2 linked regions of the Kluyveromyces lactis genome follow. The protein of the gene in region 2 interacts with the protein of the main gene of each other region in a biochemical or structural test. Links are inferred from orthologs where the notes say so. Each region holds a gene or a part of one and is shown on either strand. Other genes may lie near its edges. The genes, in order: MGT1 and UFD4.

Evidence for each region.
Region 1: the proteins of UFD4 (region 2) and MGT1 form a complex in vitro, tested with the Saccharomyces cerevisiae proteins (2 studies listed by BioGRID, with this or other methods). The link is inferred for Kluyveromyces lactis from reciprocal best matches to the Saccharomyces cerevisiae genes UFD4 and MGT1.

Annotation. Positions count from the first base shown.
Region 1 is NC_006041.1:160,190-173,149, forward strand, and holds MGT1 (methylated-DNA--protein-cysteine methyltransferase), read left to right. Parts: upstream 1-9,575; coding exon 9,576-10,145; downstream 10,146-12,960. Other genes in the region: aminophospholipid-translocating P4-type ATPase DNF3, read right to left, coding at 1-438; QRI1 (UDP-N-acetylglucosamine diphosphorylase), read left to right, coding at 1,032-2,444; INP2 (Inp2p), read right to left, coding at 2,559-4,559; MSS11 (Mss11p), read right to left, coding at 5,034-6,653; PET494 (Pet494p), read right to left, coding at 7,455-8,807; KLLA0_E01783g (uncharacterized protein), read left to right, coding at 11,130-12,848; KLLA0_E01805g (uncharacterized protein), read right to left, coding at 12,936-12,960. UniProt on the Saccharomyces cerevisiae protein: Involved in the cellular defense against the biological effects of O6-methylguanine (O6-MeG) and O4-methylthymine (O4-MeT) in DNA. Repairs the methylated nucleobase in DNA by stoichiometrically transferring the methyl group to a cysteine residue in the enzyme.
Region 2 is NC_006038.1:1,183,242-1,195,555, reverse strand, and holds UFD4 (putative ubiquitin-protein ligase UFD4), read right to left. Parts: upstream 9,130-12,314; coding exon 4,726-9,129; downstream 1-4,725. Other genes in the region: MIF2 (Mif2p), read left to right, coding at 1-910; mitogen-activated protein kinase kinase kinase kinase STE20, read right to left, coding at 995-3,964; mRNA turnover protein MRT4, read left to right, coding at 10,031-10,747; SHU1 (Shu1p), read right to left, coding at 10,841-11,356; MRP4 (mitochondrial 37S ribosomal protein uS2m), read left to right, coding at 11,734-12,314. UniProt on the Saccharomyces cerevisiae protein: E3 ubiquitin-protein ligase which accepts ubiquitin from an E2 ubiquitin-conjugating enzyme in the form of a thioester and then directly transfers the ubiquitin to targeted substrates.

The sequences.
Region 1 (12,960 bases), on a different chromosome or scaffold from region 2:
CGCATTTGCCAATTTCGAAAATTGCGCGTATAATTGCCTTGGCAAGAACGAATATACGGTATATCGGGACGACGTTATGACATTATCGCGGTATGGTCTATCAGTCCTCTCATCGATAAGAAGATTCGAGCGGGCATACTGTTGATATAACACCGAGTTCTTATCCAAACATATCGGTATAACTCTACCGCTCTCCGAGCTTAGATGTGTTGTCCGATTTAAAATCAGATCCATTATCTTTGTTCTCAGACTAAGCTTTTTCCGTTTCTTTGTCTGATTACTTGGAAGATTCTCTGTACTGTACGAAGAGGCCGGCAAGCTGTCACCATCGTTCGCTATTTCCATTTCAATTTCTTCAGATTCCGACCTCAACTTATCACTGAGCTTCTTGTTGAACAACTGGGTTCGAAGCGAATAGCCCCTGGATCGGCCAGTCATCTGAGATATCCTATATACAATCCAATCCCTTTCACTAGATTCAGTGCTTGTTAGGGCTATCTGTACTGCCTTTCAAATGATCAAACTTGTCAATCTTTTGTTCTAAAGCCTTAAATGATAATAAATCTCACAATATTGAAGAAATCAAATAGTGAATTAAGGCAAATCACAACATAGAAAAGCCTCTAAAGGTGACACAATGCACAAAAGATCTTGAAGAGTGTAGAACTGGTTTACCAGATCTGGCTGTAGATTAACTCCGGAACTTCGTTAATACCAAGGAATAAGTCAATACAGAAAATCAATTCAATGGCCGCATCCAATTGCCCTGGTTCTGTGCGTTTTGCCTAATTAACTATTACGTGGAAATTCCGTTTGTTTACAAATCGTCGCACGTGACATAATATTATCGAGCCTTATGGTGTTTCACTCAAAGCGGTTTTCGATCTATAAATAAGATCATGTAGATGAATCTGAAGAAAAAGGAAATGCAGATACACTTGATATAAGCCAGTAGGTGTTTAAACTGATTATTTGTCAGTGAGCAGATCAATCGTCGGTATAGTTTAGATATTTTTTTTCATTCTGTTGCGATGACTGACTTGAAACAACAGTACGAATCAAAAGGTCAATCACATTTGTTTGCCCACTGGGACACCTTGGCACAAAACGAAAGGGAGCATTTTCTGAACCAATTGAGTAAGTTTGACTCTAAAAAATTGTCTGAAGATTGCCAGAAGGCAATTGCATTGGCAGACGAAAATTCAAGCTCTGAAAATGTCATCAGACCGTTACCAGCATCATCGTACGAATCGGTGATTGGAGATGACGATTTGAGGAATACGTACCAACAATTGGGATTAAATGCTATCAAGAATGGCGAGGTTGCTGTTATTTTAATGGCTGGTGGTCAAGGTACGAGATTGGGATCTTCCGCACCAAAGGGATGCTACAATATCGGCTTACCTTCTGGAAAATCATTATTCCAGATCCAAGCTGAAAGATTAAAAAGACTACAAACTCTTGCTGGCTGTACGAAACCGATACAATGGTACATCATGACATCAGGACCCACAAGAGCCGCTACTGAATCTTTCTTCAAGGAGCATAACTTTTTTGGCCTCTCAGAATCTCAGATCCACTTCTTTAACCAAGGCACGTTACCAGCTCTTGATATTTCTGGAGAAAAGTTATTCTTGAGCGACAAAGATGAACTTGTGGAATCACCTGATGGTAATGGTGGCCTATACCGTGCTATCAAAACTAATAATTTATTAAATGACTTCAATTCCCGCGGCATCAAGCACATACACATGTATTGCGTCGACAATGTCCTTGTTAAAATTGCAGATCCAGTTTTCATCGGCTATGCTATCAAGAATGACTTCCAACTTGCTACGAAAGCTGTGAGAAAACGTGATGCTCATGAATCTGTTGGTATAATAGCCACCAAAAATGATAAGCCATGTGTCATAGAATACTCAGAAATTTCAAAACCTCTAGCAGAAGCTGTTGATGAGGACACAGGGCTACTAACTTTACGTGCTGCCAATATTGTCAACCATTACTATTCAGTAGATCTATTGAACACGAAATTGGACAATTGGGTAGAATCTATGCCATATCATATAGCCAAAAAGAAAATTTCGTACTACGATAATGTCAATGACAAATATGTGAAACCATCAGAACCTAACGGTATAAAGTTAGAACAGTTTATTTTTGACGTTTTCCCCTCCATTCCTATGTCTAGGTTTGGTTGTTTGGAAGTCGAAAGAGCAGAAGAATTCTCTCCACTAAAAAACGCTCCTGGAACTGCAAATGATAATCCTGAAACTGCTAGGGATGCTTACCTTCATTTAACTACATCTTGGTTGAAAGATGTAGGAGCACTAGTCAATGATGAAATTCTTGTCGAAGTTTCAAGTCTATTGTCTTACGGCGGGGAAAACCTTGACTCTTATAAAGGCACTGTGTTCGATAAGCAAGGCGAAATTTTGAACTAACCAGGCAGTGTTTATAATATATTCGAAACGATAATGCTGGTGGTTTAAGTTTATTATATATACTAAAATAATACATACTTTTATCATTCAAGTGATATCAATATTGGATGTAGGTCAATCACTTCTTCTGTTTAAAAATTGTTTTAGTTCGAAAAGTACTGGTATACTCTCTTCGGAATTGAAAAGACCTTTGCAATCTATCTGGGGCCTGCCCTTCTTCTGATTTTCTATTTTCCGATTCATCAGCTCAAAACTTTTCTGTTTTCTCAAGTTTTCTCTACTTTTCTTATTTTCAATTGACAGATTCAGTATTCGTTGGTTTAATTCGTGCCTTAACTGGTCGTCTGTAAAACGAGAAAACTTAGAGTCGTTGCTAGAAGCTGTTTCTTGATCATTTTCAGTACCGTACACCAATTCCTCATGTTCTTTTTCAATGTCTGACCCAGTTTCATCTACTTCTAACACGTCTACTAGCGAAGTGAGTTTCGGAAATGAATCAACTACCACGGGGATATCACTGGTCGTCTTTACGATATCAAGATTGAGTCCACCGCTGAAAACTCTCTGACTGGAAGGCCGAGGAGAACATTTCGGTGGTTTCAACTGTTCATGCGAGTTATGTTTATAGTCGATATTCCATATTTGTATTATTCCATTCAACTCATCTATCAGGTGAGAAGAGAGTTCGGTAGATGTTTTGTCCTGTTTCATCAAGTATCGCTGCAATTCAGACAAGCGATAGATACTTTGGGTTATTACAGCTTCCTTTGATTCGGGATCCTCTTTTTCAATAGTACTTCCGTACACGGATAAAAGTAAATGTTTGTAATGATGCAAAACGGGCAACAATGATGAGATACCTTGTGTTAATGTGTATAATTGTTTCGAGATTATTTGAAATCGCTCTATGTCGGAAGTCTTTTCCACATGGTATCCAGGAAAAATTCTCTTCAAGACTAATGCAATCTCACACTTTTTCAGTGGATCAGTGTAGTTTATTGAAAGTAAGCAGCACAGAAAGAACTTTCTCATATATTGCAATCTCTCCAACTTTTGTGTAATGTCCAGACTTTCCACTGTTCGGATCATTTGATATAGGCTTTGCAAATCCACATTGTAAATACTGATATAATCAGTTAACTGAACTGCATTCACAACCGGCAAAATGTTACTAGATGCAATGTTCAATTTGTGAAATAACTGGTCTACTGTACATGTAAGGACATCTGTTAGTAATGTCAGTGTTCTGGCTTCATCTGAACGTAGACCACGATTTTCAGTCAATGCGATTGGTTTGTAAATAGTCAGCTCTTTATAAGTCAGGTGATAACGATAGATTAATTTGTCTACAGATTGCAATGCAGCATTCATCTGTCGTAGATTTAAAAGGGCAGTGTATTTGGAATATTTTGCATGGAAGTACTCTTGCTGTAAAGCTAGATAAACAGCAATCATCAATAAGGACATCAGAGAGGATCTAGGTAGATGTCTCTTATAAAGCATTTTACGGAAAGCTTTTCTTGCCGTCAATATGGTGAACATGTATGGAATTGTTCTCTGTAAATAGAATTTTTTTCCAGAAATTAACAATTGTCCATATTTTGTAGGTATAGTCTTTCCTTCAGCGTTGTGAATCGATAGGGTGTTTTCCTTATTGAAGTTCAGGATTGATTTCTGAACAGTAAATAACTGGTGATGAGAAGCGATCGAGCTTGTTAACAGTTGCGAGGAAATGATTTCATAGTGAAATTCATCAACAAAGGCATCCAGGTCACCATAAGGTAGCTGCTTCATGATCAAATCTACTTGTTTACTCCATCGGCTATCTTCTTCATGTGAGTTCAGAAAATCAGTTCTGTAATCGTTATCAATCAGAATCTCCTGTGATTCAAAGCGATCTTGGCCTACAACAGTCGGCGAAGTGTCCTTCAAAGCCTCAATACCCCACTCACTAAGCTTGCGCAACTGCTGGTAACTGATCGGAACTTGTGGGCGTGAACTGCTCCAAGTCTGTGACGAAGACATCGTTGATGGAGTCGATGCTGCAGATGCCATTTTGGGAATTTCAATCCTAGGGATTTGCAGATGCAAAGGCACCGCTTGGAAAATGTCCATTGTTTTCACTCAAAATGAGAGGATATTCAACCTGTTGGATTGATGGATGAGCCGCTTGACAAGCCTCGAAGTTTTGTGCTACATTGTCCAATGTATTGAGAGTGAGATGTCATTTATATGTAGATCAAGTTACGCTTTTTTTTTATTTTTTTTGTTTGTTTACGTTTACAAAGAAAGTAGTATCCGACAAAATTGATCGTGGAACAAATTGGCAGGAAGACATTATCAAGAGTCGAGATTAAGGCAACAGAACGAAAGAGAGTGTCAATGAAGTCATCAATGAAAACGAATCAGATAGTTTAATGTTACATATTAATTACGGGAAAGGTATATACTCTAGGTACTAAAGAAAGGGAAAAAATTTAGGTCGTCGCCATGCGGTAAATTACATTGGTCAAAAACCAGATGTCATTTGATTTCGATTTTGACTAGTATTACGGATATGAGAGGGAGCTAACATGTAAAACATACATATTACTGCTTCCGCCCTCCCATGAATTCATTACCCAAGCCTGACATATCAAACTGACCAAAATTCAATTTGTTATTTGAACCACCAGAGAATGTATTGAAATCTTGATTGTTAGTAACATCTATTTTTGAGAGAGGTTCTGATTTTTTATTATTGTCTAAAGGCTGAGAAGATGCTTGTGGACCCATAGTGGCTGGCATAGCATATGAATCAAAACTTTGAGGCTGTTGTGTTTGGAGTGACATGGCAAAATGATCTTTGTTCATTGGTTGGTCTTGCTGTTGTGATTTTACCATGTTCTCATAAGCTCTCTGTTGTTGTAGATATTGCTGGGACGGACTTGAATTATCTGATGGATCCCCTTGTCCTGGAAGTATGTTTTGGTTACCCAACTGATGATGCTGTTGATTTTGTTGATTTTGTTGGTGTTGCATTAAAGTCATCATTTTTTGATATTGCATTCGAATTTGCTGTTGCTGTTGCTGGTGCTGTTGCTGTTGCTGGTGCTGTTGCTGTTGCTGGTGCTGTTGCTGTTGCTGATGCTGTTGCTGTTGCTGTTGCTGTTGCTGTTGCTGTTGCTGTTGCTGTTGCTGTTGCTGTTGCTGTTGCTGTTGCTTCTGCTGTAGTTTGGTCCAGTTAGCTTGAACTTGTTGTGATCCGGACGGGCTTGGTTTCTTCACCTTTGACGAGGAATTAACACCTTTGAACTGCTTTGATTCCCCATTAGCTCGTGGTTTAGTATTGGCGCCAGAATCTTTATTAGTTGCTGAACTCTTCTTGGTTTGTTTATTTTTGCTTCCGACCGAAGTATTCTGAGGTTTTGGAGTAGATTTAGAACTTCCCAAGGTCGCTGCATGATAGGGATTCACACCAAGTCCAGCGTTTGTACCAGCATTCGGAGTGGTTCCTAGAACGGGTTGAAATGAGCCCTGTGGCTGTGGTACTCTCACTCCTGCTGGGAAGGAATTCGCGTTGGTTGCATAAGGAGTGTTTCCACTACCGGGTGAAGTCATTGTTCTGAAATGCTGCTGCTGCTGCTGCTGCTGCTGCAGTTGTTGTTGTTGTTGTTGTTGTTGTTGCTGTTGTTGTTGAGGGACAATGTTGCCGGCGAAGCCCATTGCTGGAGCAATAGGGCCAGTTCGCACGACACGAGACAACATTTCCTGAGGTGGAACTTGTGGCAATATTGGAACAATTCTATCATTAAATGGTTTCAAACTGGTTAAATTTTCAATTGGTGTTGTTTCAACGTACTGGTTCAACGCCCAAAGTGATTGCCACCATTCGAACAAAAAAGTATCCGGAGAATTCATTAACATTTTTGAGTTTAATAATTTATCACCGTTTAGCGAGTGTTGTGGCACGGCTTTTGACAGTGGTACATTTGCCTCTTGTAAAAACTTTTTTGCAGTATCGTGGTGTTGGTTATGCACTAGGTAGTTATAAATATGAGCATATAATAATTGCTTGGAGTTTTTCGCCATAGCATCGGAAACAAACGGTTCTACAACATCACCGCTATTGTATTGTTTATTTTTTTGATCCTGAATAGAATCGCCCTTCATCTTTTTGTCCTGTGGAGTGTTTGAAGCATTACTCTTCCTAGCACCTGGTCCAGCCATGTCCTTACAGACTTTCGATTGACAAAGTGAACGAAGCTGGTAACTTTCACTGAAATAGATTATAAAAACCCTTTTGTCCTCGATGAAAATTTAATACAACAATTAACAGTGAAAAGAACTTATCTTTCCCCGGAACTTTCAATAAATAAGCCCTGCGTAAACTGTGAATATGTTATACTTTACTAATCGGAACAGGTAGATCATGCACAGTGATAGAGAGAGGAAGAGAGGCGTATTGTTACCAATGTTATCGGTTTTGCTCGCTAGCCTAAAAACTGTTATTTCAACCAGATAAAACCCAACCACAGCTATTGACAACTTCAAAAAATCTGTAAGTTTATTCAAGTTTATATCAATGAATTAAATTAAGCGACCTTTAGCAAAAACTCAATTTACCAATACTCTCTATTTGACAACATACAATAAGGGACGATATCTAGACCAGGCAAACCATGTTAATCGATTAATTCATTTGTATTGGGCGGAGAATAATTGATTTTCAGTTACTTAAAGCGGAAATGAAAAAAAAAGATTGATCACGTGACACAAACCTTTATGTCCTTTGATAGGTACAGCTTGAACCCAAGAAAAAACTGCTGTATTGAAGGATTCTAAACAAAACAATGTACCACAAAAGTAGATGAAAGCTTAAGTCCATAATAGTTTATATACAGGAATAAGTATAGATGCAAAATGTGATACGGACTAGTATTTAATTATCATTTATTCATAAAACCAACGTCCGTTCGTCTACTTTTGAAATAAAAACAACACAGAATGAAAGACCCCTCTGTTTGTCTATTAGTTCGATTTTACTCCTCCGAGAGTTGAAAGAAGTTTCAATGCAACAGGGTTCTTGGCCATCACTGAATACGTATTTTTCCGGACATCTGCTGTCATCATTTGTTCTAACAATGGTATCTTATCCTCTGTAGGAATAATGACTCGAAGTTTTTTCTTTCCAGCCAGAACGCTATTTTTTCGAAGTAGTGAAACAACTTTTACTATGTGGTCGTTCTTACGTTGGACGTTAGACGCTATCAGTCCTTTCAAGACTCCTAAAACTGTATCTAAAGATACTGACGTCATTCCTTTGAAATAATTGTTGAACATGCTTTGGAAACGCCGACTACTGGGTTGATAGAGTACCGAAATATATTTCTCGAAAAGATCGTTGTTCCATTGGGAACTTTCAAAGACCATCTGCTCGTATATCCTTTCGTTACTGAAGTTATTCTGTTTCAAAAGGTTACGGCTGTTGTCATAATACCATAGCTGTAATAACCGTCTTTGTGAAATGTCATTGATCGACTGGTAAAATTCATAGAAGTCAGATTGGAATGCCATCTTGCTATCGCTTAACCTCTTGAAGACGTCTTGCAATTCTTCCGGGAAACTTTCAGGCTTCGGCACACTAAAATGTTGTGCCTTACTCAAATTCTTCAATAATGCTCCAAACTCGTGACGCCAACTCTTATAAAACGCCGCATTCTGTATATCATGGAGATCGTGTTCGTTCTGCGGTACGTTGTCTAAAAGCTTTTGCAACATCTTGTCATTAACCTCAACTCCCGTTTCCAACGATTTCTTATAGATATGGAACGAGTAAAATAAATAAAATATACCCATCTTTACCATGTATGAGTTGGCTGATTGTAGACCTTTCCCCTCGGGATTAGAATCCAAAAATGGATCTGAAATAGTCTCAATGTCGGCGGCAGCATTATTACTTTCTCCTATCACTTCTGACCTTCGTTGTTCCATAGCTTGCTTCTTTAGTTGACTGCTCTCTCTCCAGGAGACCTCAGAGCGGGGTCTCTTCGGTACCGCAAAATTTTGCTTATCATCGTAAACTGCATCAAGGCTATTCTCCACCCCAAATCCGTTTTCCAACGAATCTATTATAGTTGCTTGTCTTGACATCGTTGATACGGTAGAATATATCACCATCCCTGTTAACGTAACTACATTAGTCGTAACAAAAAACGCATTACCTGGTGCATTGAAATATTTCCAAAGCGTCTCTGAATACCTCTGTTGACCCTTTTGTAGACGTGGGGTACTTTGAAACATCTTGTTCTTCCATTGTAGCGTTATCCTCCGACTAGTATGAAACCTTCGTGCCATTGAACGAAAACAGCAACGAAGATGCATTTTAAATTGGAAAAACACCACTCTAAGCTTGACCCATCAACTTCGAAACAGAAACAATGAGGGAAAACTAATCTGTGTCGTATGTATTCTCCCTGATCAACCCTTTTCAAATTATTAATTCTCTTGTGTGTCTTGTTACCGGCTTCTTTCATGAATTCGCAGGGTCAGCTCATTTCCATATATCGTTTGATTTTAACTTAGTATTCAATTTTTAATTTCGCTGAAATTCTTTCTCCTTGGTGGTAAATAGTATGGAGATATATGGATGGAATCTGCGATGCGCTACAAATTTGACACATGATTTGACGAAATGAAAAGATTGTTGGGTTGAATGGCTGCACCCGTGAATAAAACGTAATCTAATAATCTCATCTTATTGTAGTAGGTGCTTCACCGGGAGTCACATCGATATGAATATGCTACAGTAGTTCGGATCTCTATAACTTATTTAAAAACGAGAGAGTATCACGTGATGTATATCATTTCTCACATCATATCTACATCTTGAAACTACAGCAAGACTGGCAGGCGTGCTAATGCTTACAATAGGAAACAGTGTGGTTCGCAGATAGGGGCGAAGGAATGTGTGGTGTATGCAACCTTAAGGAGGAAGAACTCCTTTTTCTCGAACGGTCAACCTCCGATGCTGTACATCCAGGTATATATAACTCCAATATCCCAAAAAAAAAAAGAATGGCTGCAACACGTCAGTAAAAGGGCAGGACAAGAGTAAAGAAAGCAAGCTTGGTGCACTTCACAAAGCACATTATGTCCCATTTATTAGTGTACGATTTCATGGAGCACGATCTAGCAAATGTGCTGATCGTGGTCAAACCTTCGACCAAAAGTCTTGTATTCGTTTCGCTGTCAGGAACGAAACCAAAACTATTAGGCGATGCTAAGAAATTTGTATCCAAAGTGAACTCCTTGTCAAAGAATAAAGGATCTATTTATACCTTAAAGAATAAATCCATCTTAAAATCAGACGATGTGGCATGGTTAGAACAGTTGAGCTTTGATTTTTTACAGATACTGGCTGGTGGTATTGACTCTCAAACGAACATCAAATGTGAGTATCTCCTTGGAACAGAATTTCAAAAAAAGGTTTGGGAGACTACAAAGACTATCAAGGCCGGTGCTACGATTTCTTATCAGCAATTAGCCGTTCTGCTAGGGAATCCAAAAGCTGTGAGAGCCATTGGTTCTGCTCTAGCGAAAAACAACATTGCTGTCGTGATTCCGTGCCATAGAATCATCGGTTCTAAGGGTAAACTGACAGGATTCAGATGGGGAATTGAACTAAAAGAATCACTACTAAGGCAGGAACAAGCAATTTAGTGGACTGATAGCTTTTGAATTTTTTTTTTCTTATTTGCAACCAACCGTGTTTGAAACGGCACACAAATCCCAAATGTGTTCAAGGATTACTTGACCCAGTCGTTACGGTTCTCTTCTGTGTGTGTTTCAATAAAATGTCTTTTTGTCTCTATTTCTTTTGTCTTTATTTGTCTTTCGAGAGGGTTGCGTCTGCAAGAAAAAATATGGAAATCCTGGAGAGTTGAATCATTATCGATCTGCGAGGAGTATGATAGTGGGGTGCAGCAGATATAATTAACATACTACTTATCGGATGGAGAGGGGGATCTTTTCAATAAAGACATTCAATTGTGCTGCACGGCTGATCTCACAACTTGGGACATTATACTGTGTGAGTTTTTTTTGTTCTTTTTGTTCTTTTAATTCTTCAACTTGCTTCGACGACATGAAGGGTTTGACTTTTACTTCTGCTGGTTTTTGTTTGCAGTACATTCTCTACAAACACGATTCTGTCTCGAAATAAACCATCCACTCGTAAATGTAAACCTTAAACTCTATCCCATGTTCTTGCCATAGAAAGCTAGTTTCTTACCGTTTCTTCTCTTACGGTATCTTTTGTTTCTGGTCAAGTATTAATTATTGCTGAGTAACTTTTTTTGGCAGAGTCACTGTACTATGTTGGGTATTTCTGTGAACTGAGTTTTCAATACCCTTTTTGTATGGCCTAGGCTTATTCTATTAATATTGGCGACATGATCTTCAAACGCGGTGGAAATTTGGTATCTGCTTTCAGTTATGCATGTTCAATCCAATACAATATACACTTATTCTGCTAAATTGCTTACTTGTAGTTGGTATGGTTTTTTTATATATATTGAGGCCTCAAAGCTTTTCTCAGCGATACACTGCCGTCATCACTTAAATCATATCATGTTTTCATTTTATCTTTCTTAGAATCTCAAAAAGTATGGATTGCTGTTCTCAAGCAAAGTACTAATTGCCAACATGTCCGAAGAGAAAAAGGTTGTTAATGTTCCTTCAAACTCTGAAAAAGAAAGCGCACTTGTCGAAGTTGAATCAAGATCAACTATTGATGAAATCGAAAATGTGTTTAATGGCAACAAACCAACAGAAGAAGTTCTGAAAGAAGTTGATGAATTGGTCTTGAAGTATGATCTTCAAGAATACCAAGAACTATTAAGTCGTGGTGCTTTATTGGCTAATGATCCTGATGTTTTGCTAACTGATAACTACTCCGAAAAGGAAAGAAAAAAGATCGGCAGGGAGTTAACACATCCATTTCTGTCTTTGTCAAGAGGTATGATTTGGGCTGCGTTATGTACCTCTTTGGCCGCCGTCAATTTCGGTATGGATGAAAGTGCTGTCGGTGGTGCTGTCTTGGGTTATCAAAAGGCGTTCAACATTACAAACCCTAACATCCAAGGTCTTACTTTAGCTGCGCCTTATTTGGCTGCTGGTGTCTTGACCTTACCACTGACTGTCTTATTGAACAAAAAATTTGGTAGAAGATTTATTGTTTTGATAAGTTGTTTTATCGGTGTGTCTGGTTCTCTGATCCAAGGCTTTTCGAACGGATTAGGTCTTATATTGTTCGCAAGATTATATTTAGGTATTGGTATGGGTTTATGTTCATCTACTGTCCCAATCTATACTGCAGAATGTGCACCAGCAGTTTCTAGAGGCGCAATTTTAATGTTGTGGCAGACTTTTATCGCTCTTGGTGTTTGTTTGGGTTCAGTTTTCAATAGAGCTTTTGTCGAAATCGAGGGGAACCTATCTTGGAGATTAATGATTGGTTCTTCTTGTGTAGCACCCTTTATCACGGCTCTCGTGGTTTACATTCCACCTGAATCACCAAGATGGCTTATTGGAAACGGATTTGTCAGAGAATCCCTAGAGTCCCTAATCAGATTGAGAAACACAGAAGTCTCTGGTTCACGGGACTTTTATATCCTATATGAGTCTTTGAAATACGAACATAAACTTGCAGCTAAACTTTCTTGGCACCAAGAGATTAAATCCCTATTCAGTAACATCAGAAACAGATTTGCTTTGTGGGTATCGTTCCTTGGTATTCTTGGTCAGCAATACGGTGGCGTTAACATCTTGGTTTCATATACTGCAACAATTTTAACGAATGCTGGTATTGACCCGGTAACTGCCATTGCTGGCTCAATCGGTATTGGAGGTGGTTGTTTCTTAGCTACTTTCCTTTCCTCGCAGTTGATCGACAGATTTGGTAGAAGAACAATGTTGCTTTTGACACTTCCTGTAGAAGGCGCTTGTTTGTTTTGGTTGGGTGGTATTTTGAATATCAAAGAAGATCAAGCTCGGTTGGCTGCTGGTTTGGCTGCTATGTATGTATTTGTGCTGTTCTACGGTATTGGTATTGGGCCAATTAGTTTTACATTGGTAGCAGAAACCCCATCCATTACCGTTAGAATGGCTCATAGTGCTTTTGCTATGTCGATCAATTGGTTGCTTGATTTCTGTTTGACGATGACATGGCCAAAAATGGCCGATTCTATGGGAACTTCAGGAGGGTTATATTTCTACGGTGCGTTTAACTTTCTGATTTGGGTTCTTGCTTATTTCACAATCCCAGAAACAAAAAGGTTCACACTAGAACAGTTAGATGAGGTGTTCAAACATGGTGTTACCCATTATGCCAAGCAAAATACCAGAAAACTATTTGGTAAATAATCGTTGTGACCTTAAATTTTGAAATATATATTTATCTTTAATATTCAAGTGTCATCTAACAAAACTATCGTCTTTTGGCTATACTATTCAATGGAAACTTTTTAGATCATCA
Region 2 (12,314 bases):
TGACGTGTATGATTCCGACGAAGATTACATTCAGACACAAGCTAAAGATTTATTGAAAGACGAAAGTCCAAGTACGGAAGGCGGAATTCGTAGATCGAATAGAGTCAAAGTTGCACCGCTTGAGTACTGGAGAAATGAAAAGATCGTGTACAAGAGAAAATCAGAGAAGCCTGTCCTTGAGATTGAAAAAATTATCACGTATGATCATGATCAGGATGAAGAAGAGGAGCAACTACTGAAAAGTAAACGTGCTAAAAAGCAGGTAATGAAAACCAAGACAAGACCGTATAACTACATTCCGTCCGGTAAACCTAGAGGTCGACCACGGAAAATTAAGCCTGTGGATGATCAGAACATTACCGATCCAAACGCTCCAATTATTCAAGATATTCAGCAAGGAACTTATCCAAATGCTGAATGGCTGAAACAAGGTATTCTTCAATCAAAGGTCAATGTTACAGCTGATGAGAAGAAAGAACAGAATATATTGGCTTTTGCTCCTGGGTTAGCACAAACTGAACAGGTTACAAGCACAAACCAGGATAAATTTACTTTATCGATTTTATTCGATAAACACAAAGAAAGGTTTGCCAGCGGTATGCTTAAGCTTCCGCTCGATGGAGAAAAGACCCCTAGTGATTCACATAACGCTTTTATCAATTTTTTCGTTGTTAAAGGTGTTGTTGAAATATCTGTGGGTGATAACAAGTTTGTGTGTACAACGGGTTCTTCTTTTCAAGTACCGGCGTTCAACACTTACGGTTTTCTCAATAAAGGAATGACAGAAGCGCAACTTTTCTTCGTTCAAACAACCGTCCCTGAAGATTTTAATGGTGCAGATGACATTTTTGAAGATTCGGAGATGTCTTCTAATAAATCTTCGAGCGATATGAGTCTCACATCTACCTAATGTGAATGAAATATTAATAACACAACTATTCTATATAGAAAAAATAAAGTTTTAAATTCATGTAATGCCGTAAAACAGAAATGATTATGATTGTTCATCGTATTTGTCTTCATCGTTTTCATCATCTTCCATACTTTCTGCTAGTTTCTTCATCCTTGCCAGTTTAACCAACGGTGCAAGGGAGGTGTTCTCTTCCGCAATTTCAGTGATAAATGGATCTTCAAGAAGATCTGCTGCGGTTCCTCTGTCCTCTGGATCAACCATTAAACACCAATTTAAGAACATAGCCATTTTATGACTTAAATTTCCAGGATCCTTTAGCTTTGGCGTACCATTGGTAGCGATCAAATATAGAGCTCTTAGTGGTGTCTCATTCAGATATGGTGGTTCACCTTCTATCATTTCAATGATCATAATACCAAGAGACCAAATATCAACCTTTGGTCCATATTCTTTTCTTGATACGACTTCTGGGGCCATCCAGTACGGAGTACCAACCATCGTCGTTCTCTTCAAATTTACCTCGTTAATCTGAGCACAAAAACCGAAATCTGTTAGTTTGATGTCTCCGTTCATGGATAGCAAAATATTGTCTGATTTAATATCTCTATGAATGACTCCCTTTGAATGCAAAAACTGTAAACCCTTGAGTGTTTCTCTAGAGACGGCACCGATTTGCCCTTCAGTCAATATACAGTGCGTAACGACATCAGTCAACGAACCACCTTCCATGTATTCCATGACAACCCATAAATCACCTCTAAATAGGTATGAATCAATGAAATTAACAATGTTGTTGTGTTTGCTTCCTTTCATGACCAGAATTTCATTCACAATTAACTCTTTCTTGGGTTGTTTCTCCAAATTCATCTGTTTTATTGCTACTGAAGCATTTGTGCCCAATTCATACGCTGTGTAAACTCCTCCTGATGCACCTTGTCCGATTTTGATCAGATTCTTGTACAGTTTGCTTGGGTCTCCTGTTGTGCAAATCTCGGTTAATTTTGATTGAATTTGTTGATTCTTTCTTTTCCTCTCTTCCCTCTTTTTTTCCTGGGCCTTTCTTGTCTGGACATTAGAAGTATTCGATTCCTCTTTCACTTCCACAGCAAGCCCGGAAGGAATTGCAGGTATTGAGGATTGTTCCGGTGTTGTAGGAATTGCAGGTTTTGGTGGAGTAGGAGCCGCTCTTGCAGGCAATAAATTTGCTGGTTTTTCTGCAGCCTTTGGAATAGGAGGTAATGGTTGCTCACTTTTCAATGTTGGCATCTTCTTGAATGAGAAAATGCTTGATGACTGAGTATCACTTCTTTGCACTTTTGGTGTTCCATGGCCAAGCGAATTGATTGGTGAAGGGATTTCGACCCTACGGCTAACTGTGGAGGAACCTTGAGGTTTTGGAGCAGGCCGAGTCGGTATGAACTTTTCGTTGTTCACAGTTTCACTGAAATCGTTAGTGAGCAGCGGACCCTGTAAGTTACTAGAGTATGGGGTATCATTGTTTTCATTCGGAAAAGTTGCATCTGTTTGCATTTGCGGAGTTTCGAACTTCTGTACTGATGCAGTTGATGGGGTTCTGAAAGAAGGTGTAGATGCAATGTTTGCACCAGAGCCACCTCCTACTTTGAAAGTCTTGAAGACTTTCTCTTCTCCAGAGTTTTCAGTAACATCTTGGTAGAATTTTACAATATCCATCACAGCCTGGGGATGTTGCTGTTGTTCTTTCATACTAATGCCACTGGAAGTTAAAAGTTTCTCCCATTCATTTGGTAACCCTGTATATTCCCCTGTTTTGGAGTCAACACCTACATGATAAACATGCTTAGCATTATAAGGAGTAGAGATCTTAAATGCATTATTTCCACTTCCATTACCGCTTCCGCTAGAAATTCTTTTCTCTGAGTGTGAGTTCCTCTTGATGTTTTGAACGAATGTTGAGAAAACACCTTTCTTCTTAGTACCGGTCTTCCTCTTAACATCATTAGAGGAGGTGGAGGAATTAGAATTCCTCTGGGAGTGGTCAGGCGTCCCATGCTGACTCTTAACGTTTTTCCTCAGAGAAGAAAACGGAGAAGAAATGGTTCTGAAGGGGGATCTTGATTCTGATACTGGTGTTTGATTTTCGAAAAAGTTATTCACCATTACGGGAGTTTTAATTGGAGGATCCTCATTTGTTGTTTCTGGATGTGGTTCTTCTTCAGGTATTACTTCATGCACACTTACGTGTTTCGAATGATCTGCAGACGCTGTCGATGCCTTGTTGAAACTATCTGTAGATGATAATATCTCATTTAGCGGGGACTCATATACATCATTGGCATCAACTTCAGTTATAGGTGTTGTAATCTTTGGAGAATTTGAGGTTTGTGTGGAATTTAGGAAGTCAGAAGAAGTTTCCAGGGCCCCGCCCATAAGAGAGAGATCAGGTGTCATCCTCCCGCCAGTAGATATTCTACCTATATTTTGGGAGGAACCTTCTATAGTTGACATCGTCTTATCTCCAACAATAGATTCAATTGTCCCTGGCGTCTCCTTCGAAGTCAAATTATTTCCTTCTTCCACTTTTCCTTCTAGATGCGATATTAAATCTGCATCACCTTCCGATATACTTTCACTTAACACAGAACTGGAAGAGACTCTTGTAAATTGTATCGGTTCATCCAAAGTTGGCTGGTTACTATTAAAAATTTCCGAAACATTTGTTGGTACGGTGCCCGGTTTCCCTGGATCCATAGATTTATAATCTGAAAGGTCTTTGACGTAATGATCTTCGTCTGATTCTTGTAATCCTTTCACATCCAAACTCGCTGGTGCACGAGGTAAATCAAAGAGATCTTTTGAGACAGATTGTTCCCTAGTCTCCGTTACTTCTGTATGATCCTCTAGAGTTTGTACTGAAAGATTTTCACGATGTACATCCTCTTGTTTTGAATCTTGATTTTGACTTTTGCGTATGCTACTGGTGTCACTTTCTGTATTGCCACCATTTTCTCTCACGGAAAGCGCATCAAATGTGCCTGGTAACAATTCTTCAGTATATCCAGTATCCGTCATTATATGGAGACAAAGTAGTGAGTGTAGTAGCTTCTATCAAAAAAAAAAGGCCTGTGTCAAAAGATGTCTTGTGGTTAATTCTATCGACCGAACAAAAAGGAAAGGTATTCCGAAAAACACAAACAGGTCTGTAATGATTTCTAGAGCATACAACCGTCAGTAACAAAGCCTGCTGTGGCCGTGTTAATTTCTGTCAGAAAAAAAGCTAGATTACTTTGTTCAAAGAATAGAAGATCAAGTCAGATAAACAATGAAAGAAATGACAAAACGTGCTCTGTAAAATTCTTTCTACCTTCACCTCCTTCTAACTTAAAAACGAGAGCCTGTTGTGTAATTCAGTGTAACGAACGTCTTTTGATTGCTAAAATCACACTCTCGCCAAAACAAACAAATAATGTGTGCTTGTTATTAAAAAGATCCAAAAGAAGATGGTATTACCTGGTATTACTCTCTGAAATACTTGTCAAATCGGCAGAGATAGCCTGATTAATAAAATTTAAAACCTAGTTCTAACACAAGCCACAGTTAAAGCAACAATTGAGCTTGCTCGTTTCTCTAATCTGCTTATAAACATGCATACCATCTGATCTTTACATTCCGTTTGTTTAAACTCTTAAGCTTTAAATTTCAGTTTCAACATTTTCGCCAATCCCAAAGAGTAAATCCTGTCACATGTCACGAAAGTATGTGGTATTGAAATCTTTAGTTAGGGTGGAGTATGGTTAGATCTACAGACATCTCTATGTAGTTATATACATATTCTATGACAATAGGAAGGCTCCGGAACCTTCAGTCATTGCTTGTGCAATACGATCTTTGAGTACCAGTTTATCAGAGTATTTTGGTAGTTTCAAGTAATTGGCGCATGTCATAACGCTAGGTAGGCAATGGTCTGCCGAGATGTTCCCATCTGGGTGCTTCAGGACTACTGTGAATTTGGGTTTTAAGTTTTTGAAACCGCCAAGAGGTAGTTTCGGAGAGCCAGTGATGAATTGTAAGAACAAACGTTTCTGTTGTGTCGAAAAATTCGACAAAATATCTATGAGGTCTGTTATGATTGGAGAATCCATCGAGTAGCCATGGTCTGCATGAATGGATGAGTATAGCGTTTGCACAGACCAATCTTCAGCAACTGCACCAAACAAATCGGATAGTTCTGTCGGAGTTAAGATTAGCAATGATGAATAAGGGAATGATTTCGAAAATCCGTTCCTGAAGGCAGCGAGCTGCATATCTACGCCTTTGCCCAAAAATTGGTCAAAGACACGAATCAAGTACTCTTCCACGTTGAAAGATTCAACTAAGATTTTCGAACCACCTTCCAACAATTCTATATCATAACCAGGCAGCATGAAATATAGGTCAAGGTTTTTGATAGAGTCATCATGACGATTATCATACAAAAATGCGAGTGATTTTCCTAGTTGAACATCAAACTGTCCTACGAGGTGGATACAAGTTTCGAAGTCTTCTAGGTCAAGTCGATCATTCTTGCAGCATTTGTGCATCAACTCGAAGAAAACAGCGTTAAATCTAAAATCGAGAATCCTATTATCTAACATTGACCTAGCGACTAAGGTCCCCAAGTTTTCGAATAATTTCAAAGTCTTTTCGTTATTCTCCTCGGTGGTGCCCAATAATGGTCCAGGGAACAATGCACCTGTCACATACTCCTCCTCATCATCACTGGTATCACTATTGGTCTTCCACATTTTTAGAGACTTCCTTGCAAATTCTTTCGACATCAAAGAGTAAAATTCGAGAGTGGGTCCTAACCCTGTACCTTCTTCATCTTTGTATTCGATCTCCAATACGTTTGGCGAAGAACCATACTTTTTTAGAATTTTGATGCCGGACAAAAATAGTGAGTCTCTTGAAACCCTCAACTTGTGTCTAGTCAACCTGCCTAATTGATGCAATGGATTTTCAGTAGGGTTACTATGGTGCTGATCTGCCAGCTTTTCCCTCCAGTATTGGATCAATCTGCCATATCCATATGATGTATTCTGTAAGAAGTTCATTCTAGTTTCAAATGGAAACAAAAATCCATATTTTCTCGTGATATCGAGGACCCAACTTGGTAAGACCCCACATGCCACAATAAGTGGCTCTTCAAGTTGACGGGAAAGCTTAGCACTAATCTTTGGATTCACATAAATAGATGCTGGGAGTGATTTATGTTGGCAACATTGTAGAACTGTCAAAATACCATTGACAGGCTTCAAATCCGCCCCTTCAAAAGCTGTATCGGGGTAAAGCACATGCAATTGATGTGACTCCCTTCTTTTTACTGATTTCTTGAACTTAAAAGTAGGTACGTTAGTCCAGATACTCGTTGTGGGTAACCCTTCTTTCATCGCCTCTTTGAATATAATAGAGTAAATAGTTGACGATTGATCTAAAAGATGGTCATTCAACGAAAAGTCAAATTGTATGTTTTCAAGTTCTTTGGCAACATTTGTAGGGTTGGCTTGTTGATTAGCACGACTCATGCTCGGAATGATAGAAGTCAAAAATTCCGATTGCACAATCTTGTGTTTCAAGAATTCATCAAGTGTTTTCAAAGATGCAACGCAATGCACGGCAATTACAACATCTTGAAGAGTTTCTGGAACAGTATCTTTTCCCACTTCATCATCGGCCGGCTCATGAACTAATCTTATTTTCATCTGTTTGATTAACGAGGCACTTGGAGAATCGTTGCTACTGGCACCAGCATCTAGGATGGCAAAGGTTTCCGTCCTAGACAATGCATTTTGTAGTAGCTTCACAAATTCAGGCAATTTTTCCTCGAACACTTTCAGAAAAGTCCTCTTGGAGAATGATTGTTTCGTTGAATCAGTTTCAAAGATATTAGCCATAGAATCAATGAGACCAGTGGAAATGAGCTCGAAGCCAGATATGTTGGACATATCATCAAATAATGAGGATTTTACAGCAGTCCAGAAATCCATCCAATATTGTTCGGAATCAGATTGAACATCCAGTTCCTTCATCTTAGTGACAACAGCATTAATTTCAGAAAGCTCGCTGGAGACTTCTTCTTGGTTAGATGAAAACAACTCTAGTAGTGTAGCACTAAACATGGAAACATGTTTTATTAGGTAATAAGGAGTCAAATGATCGTAGATATTAATGCGGATTTTTCTCGGTTTGACAAATTCAGGTATGTTCATGTCGTCGTACTCCATCCTGTAACTGTCTTTTTCTTCATCATCATCTTCATCTTCAATGTCAGAATCAGATCCAAAAACAGGATGAGAATCAGAGTTTTCCGGACGTATATGATATCCTGACTTCTCGGCTTCATCTGATGACGATTCCTGTTTATCAATACTATCTTTCTTGCTGAGCTCATAACTGTAGTGAGAATTCAAAGAGGTTAAAGCATCTGGTATACCTTCTTTTCTTAGTTTCGGTAGATACAAATCCGGATTATTAGACATCATGATAGAAATTAACGAAAGCAGTGCTACTAGTACTGCACTGGTCTCAGTCTTCATATGATCTTGTTGCGCATTTGAACCATTGATGAGACCAGAGGATATTATGTTAATAACGGACGAACTAGGAATATCGTAGCCATGAGGTATAGACGTGAACACCCTAGCCAATGCAACAAGAACTGTATATCTAATCTTAGTATCCACTGTATTGGAATATATTTCCACCAAACAAGGAATCAACTCATTGACTAGTTCAAGGAATTTATCCTCATTTCCGTCAAATGTGAAAACTTTGACCTCATCGGCTGTCAAGATTTGAGAATCTTCAGTTGGGAGCAAAAGTAAGAGGAAAGTTGTTACCGACAACAAAAGCTCTTTAGGAACATAAATCAAAGTTTCACTGAAGGTGGAAGATGCTGATTTCTTATAAGACTGGAAAACGTTTTGAATAACTTTGTTCAACTCACAATCCAATAGGATTTGTTTTGACAATTCAACATTGGTGGAGACCAAGAGTGATGAAATATCCAAGACTTTCAAAACAGATTCACGTTCAATCTCTGAAGAAGATAACAACGACAATAACCTTTTAACCAACTCGAAGTCAAAGAGTTTAGATAATGATTTCTTGTTCAAAGATCCTGAAATGCTGTAAAGTGTTATGAGAACTGGCTTCAAAATTACTGGATTTGTACTATTTAGGAAGATAGATTTCAAGATGGGGAAAATCTCTGATACCACCTCGAAGTCACTTTCCTTAGCCCTAGCACATGAGTTCGCAACGATAGATAATGATTTTTTCTGCGCATGGACGGTAAAGAAATCCAAATATTGCAAACAAGAGAGAAGGGTACCGCTTCTTAAAATCTTAGATCCATGTACCCTTGAAATGAACTCTAAACACTCCAAAACTTGTTCTGCCAAATCGATATAGCTTATCTCATTCAATTTCCCTCTCAATATCTCAATAATATCTCTATTAACCGAAACCTCTATCATTTCTGGGTTCATCTCATAGTAGTTATAGAGACACCTACAAGCAATTAATTGTAACTCCAACTCTGCTTGTAATAATGGGCTAGACAATACATGGATCAAAGCGTCCATTAACTTGCCAGATGGGATGATTCGATCAGCGATCAAAGGGTTTAACATCAATAGCTGTTCAGATAATTCCCGGAGAGATTCCATAGCAATATACGGATCGTCTTCAGCTTGAAGCACATTCTCAATCAATTTCAAATACCGAGAATTTCCTCTGCTAACACCGAAAAACCCTTCAGACCTTCCTAGTTCTTGCAACAGATCTGGCAATGAACGTCCAAATGCACGCTCCGAATCAGCTTCCTCGCCTTCAGCAACATCACCATCCCCACTTTCACCAGATCTTTGATCCGCTAGACGAGAAACAATATCTTGTAGAAACGAAATCCTGTCCGCACGGTCCCCAGAACGGCTTTCATGATAAACATTCCCTATCTCACCTTCTACTTCCTCATCGTCTTGATCTTCATCTTGATCTTCGTCCAACTGCTCTCCTTGCGATCCATCTTCTTCCCCGTCTTCGTCTTCATCATCATCATCATCGTGATGGACAAACTCTAAATCATCTTCATCCTCTGGATAAGAATATTCGCCAGATTCAACATCATCACTTTCATGGCTACCGTTCGCATCTTCATATATGATATAGTCGCCATCGCCATCGTAATAACTCATCTTTTCAAAACCCTTTCCTGTTTCAAATCACAAATAAGAGGCAAAATTACTATCTAAAATTTCTAGTTCACAACCCGGTATCTCTTACCACCTTAATAATTGGTATCTTAGAGGTTGTTAGACTTTGGCAAGCAATACAAGAGGTATGTTTAACTCGCCGGCTGTTCATATCAAACCAACTAGTTTGTTTCCTGCTAAATATGTACTGAGATTGCAATTTCCTGACTCTGAACTTTTAAGGTACATTTTGGTCCGGTACACTGCGGTTTTATCTGAGGAAAATATACACAATACCCGTCGCCACAAGTAATGAGTCACGTGACTAAGTTTACTTCCCCATTTACAATACATCTCCGGTAATAGGTTAAATCATTACCACTATATCTACTTGCCCGATACACGATCATGCCCTATCTGTGCCTTTCTAGTCTTGATATTTGTGTTGAATTGAGATCTATTGTCTCATTGGCAATGAGTGAGAGACTCAGAAATCAGTCAAGGGAATTCATACCGGAGTTTGGTTTTGCAGTTCCTTAGAATAAACCTCTCTAACCGAGCTTATGAGAATGGCCCTAGAGCATTGCAAAAGAGCCGGTATATGTCTTACCGATTCACTTTGTGTCAGAGGTCGTTACTTTCCGTTTGGAAAAATCAAATCACGTGACTCACAACTAGAAAGAAAAAGAAAGGCGCAAATTTTTCAGTTTGAGAAAGCTCATCTCATCGCATCTACTCGATGGACCTTTCATAGTTTAAACTGATCAACAGTACTAATCGCTATATTCTATCAGTTGTATTCCTCTTTATTTATCTCTCTTCTGTAATTGAATAGTGTTCTGATAATTGTTTACTTTTCGTTACTCTTTATCATCAAGCTACTACATATACCAACCCAGATACGATGCCAAGATCTAAGCGTTCAAAGTTGGTTACATTGGCCCAAACCGATAAGAAGGGTAGAGAGAACAAGGAAAGGATATTCGATGAAGTTAGAGAAGCCTTGGATTCTTTCAGATACGCTTGGGTTTTACATTTGGAAGATGTGAGAACTCCAGTTTTGCAAGAGATTAGAAGTTCTTGGGTTGGATCCAAGTTAATCATGGGTAAGAGGAAGGTGTTGGTGAAAGCGTTAGGTGAAAAGCCAGAGGAAGAGTACAAGGAGAACTTGGCCAAACTATGTAAGCACTGTTCTGGTGTTACTGGTCTATTATTTACCAACGAACCTGTCGATGTAGTGGAAGATTACTTCAAGGCATATGTGAGAGCTGATTTCTCCAGACCAAAATCAAAGGCTCCATTGTCTTTTACCATTCCAGCCGGTATTGTATACTCTCGTGGTGGTCAAATCCCAGAAGAAGAAGATGTGCCTATGATACATTCTCTGGAACCAACTCTAAGAAACAAGTTCAAGATTCCAACCAAAATTAAGAATGGTAAGATTACCATCGAATCTCCATACTTGGTCTGTGAAAAGGGCAAAACTCTAGATGTTACTCAAGCATTGATCTTGAAACAATTTGGTATAGCAGCTGCTGAATTCAGGGTGAAGGTTGCCGCATACTACGATAACGAAACTTCTAGTGTGGAACAGATCAATATCAACATGGATTCGAAATAAATCCAAAAATAAGAAAGCATTGCAGTGATAAACTATAAATATATATATATAATCATAACCTATATATTTCTCCTTTGTACATTAATCTCTTCTCTAGGAATCCTTTATCGAATACACGTACTGCCAATATTCGGTCAGATTCTTCCAACCTTGAGACATCATTCCCAGATCTGTCGCTGACACCATTCTGATACGCACAGCGTACTGATTTTCCAGTCGAAGCGATCCATGAAGGATGAGGTTACAATGTCGCAGCTGGGAGATTGACAGATCAAGAGTTTTCTGTGTCTCTTCTGATTCCAATTGTTCTTTCGTCATTAACAGGGACTCTAAACCGTAGATGATAATTTCTTCATAGCACATCGATGTGTTTCCTTTATTCTGGAGCTCAATCTCGACATATGTCAAGTACATATATAAATACTGTAATTTATCAAGGAACAGAATCCGCACGTTGGATCGTCCCCTGACTATATCATCAATACTGTTAAAGAAATGCGTCTTGTTTTCCCGTAGATCTTGCTCGAAGAAACTTCGAGCCTTAACGCCAACTGCTATAACTAGAACTTTCTTGTTACGGTCCAATACATCACGCAGTACATCTTCCATCGGTTTATAAGGATGAAAAATAATCTTAACCAATGCTATCCTACTAGGAAATACCTTATCCTAATAAATTAATTTCACGCTTGTAAGCCGGTACATTAATTGTTTCAGATGCGTAATAGCCTTGACGGTTTGAAATGTTGATACTTAGACCACATAAAACACGTGATATTTAATTACTGAGAATATATCAAAGTATCAACTCGTATACAATGATCTGGAAAATTTTATTGAATTGGTGAATTGGACAGTTGGTTATCGTAGCGTTTGGTATATTAAATTACGATGATTTGAAGAAGGTAAAAGGTAAAGGAAGTGATTTAGTCGACATTTTGAGTGTTACCTTCACCTTATAGTGAGAACTGTATCATTTGTCCGGAATGTCTGTTAGATACTGCACCAAAAATTTGGTGGGGAGGGCGCCATTTGCCTTAAGATCAGGTGCAGTGAGACTGCAAAGTTCTTCATCAAAGGCTAGTTCCAGCGATGAGTCCAATGCTATAAAAGGCGAGAATGGTGAAGAATTACAATCTGTGGATGTAGCAGCGGCTCGTCAATCGGAATTTAACGGGAGTATATCTCAGCTTTTACATCAGGCAATGAACACACCAATAGAAGAGTTAGGAGATCTGGAAACCAAGTTGAAGTCGCCATTGACTGAGAAAGAACAACAATTGGATGAGAAATTGACTGCATTTTTGAGGAAGTACTCGAAATATAACAAAGTTTTAGATCTACCAGAGGATACCAACAAGTTCGACTTTAGTTCAAAAGTTTTGTCCCAACCATTACATACTAGAGAGTTCCCATATTTGTCGCACACCAGTAAAGAAAAGCCTTATTCGGAACAAGAATTATATGTACGTCAATTAAAACATGCCGCTCATACATCCAAATTAGGTGCTAATATACAAGACGTGTATTTCCCACACAAGGACGTTTTCAACCCGCCATCTTTACA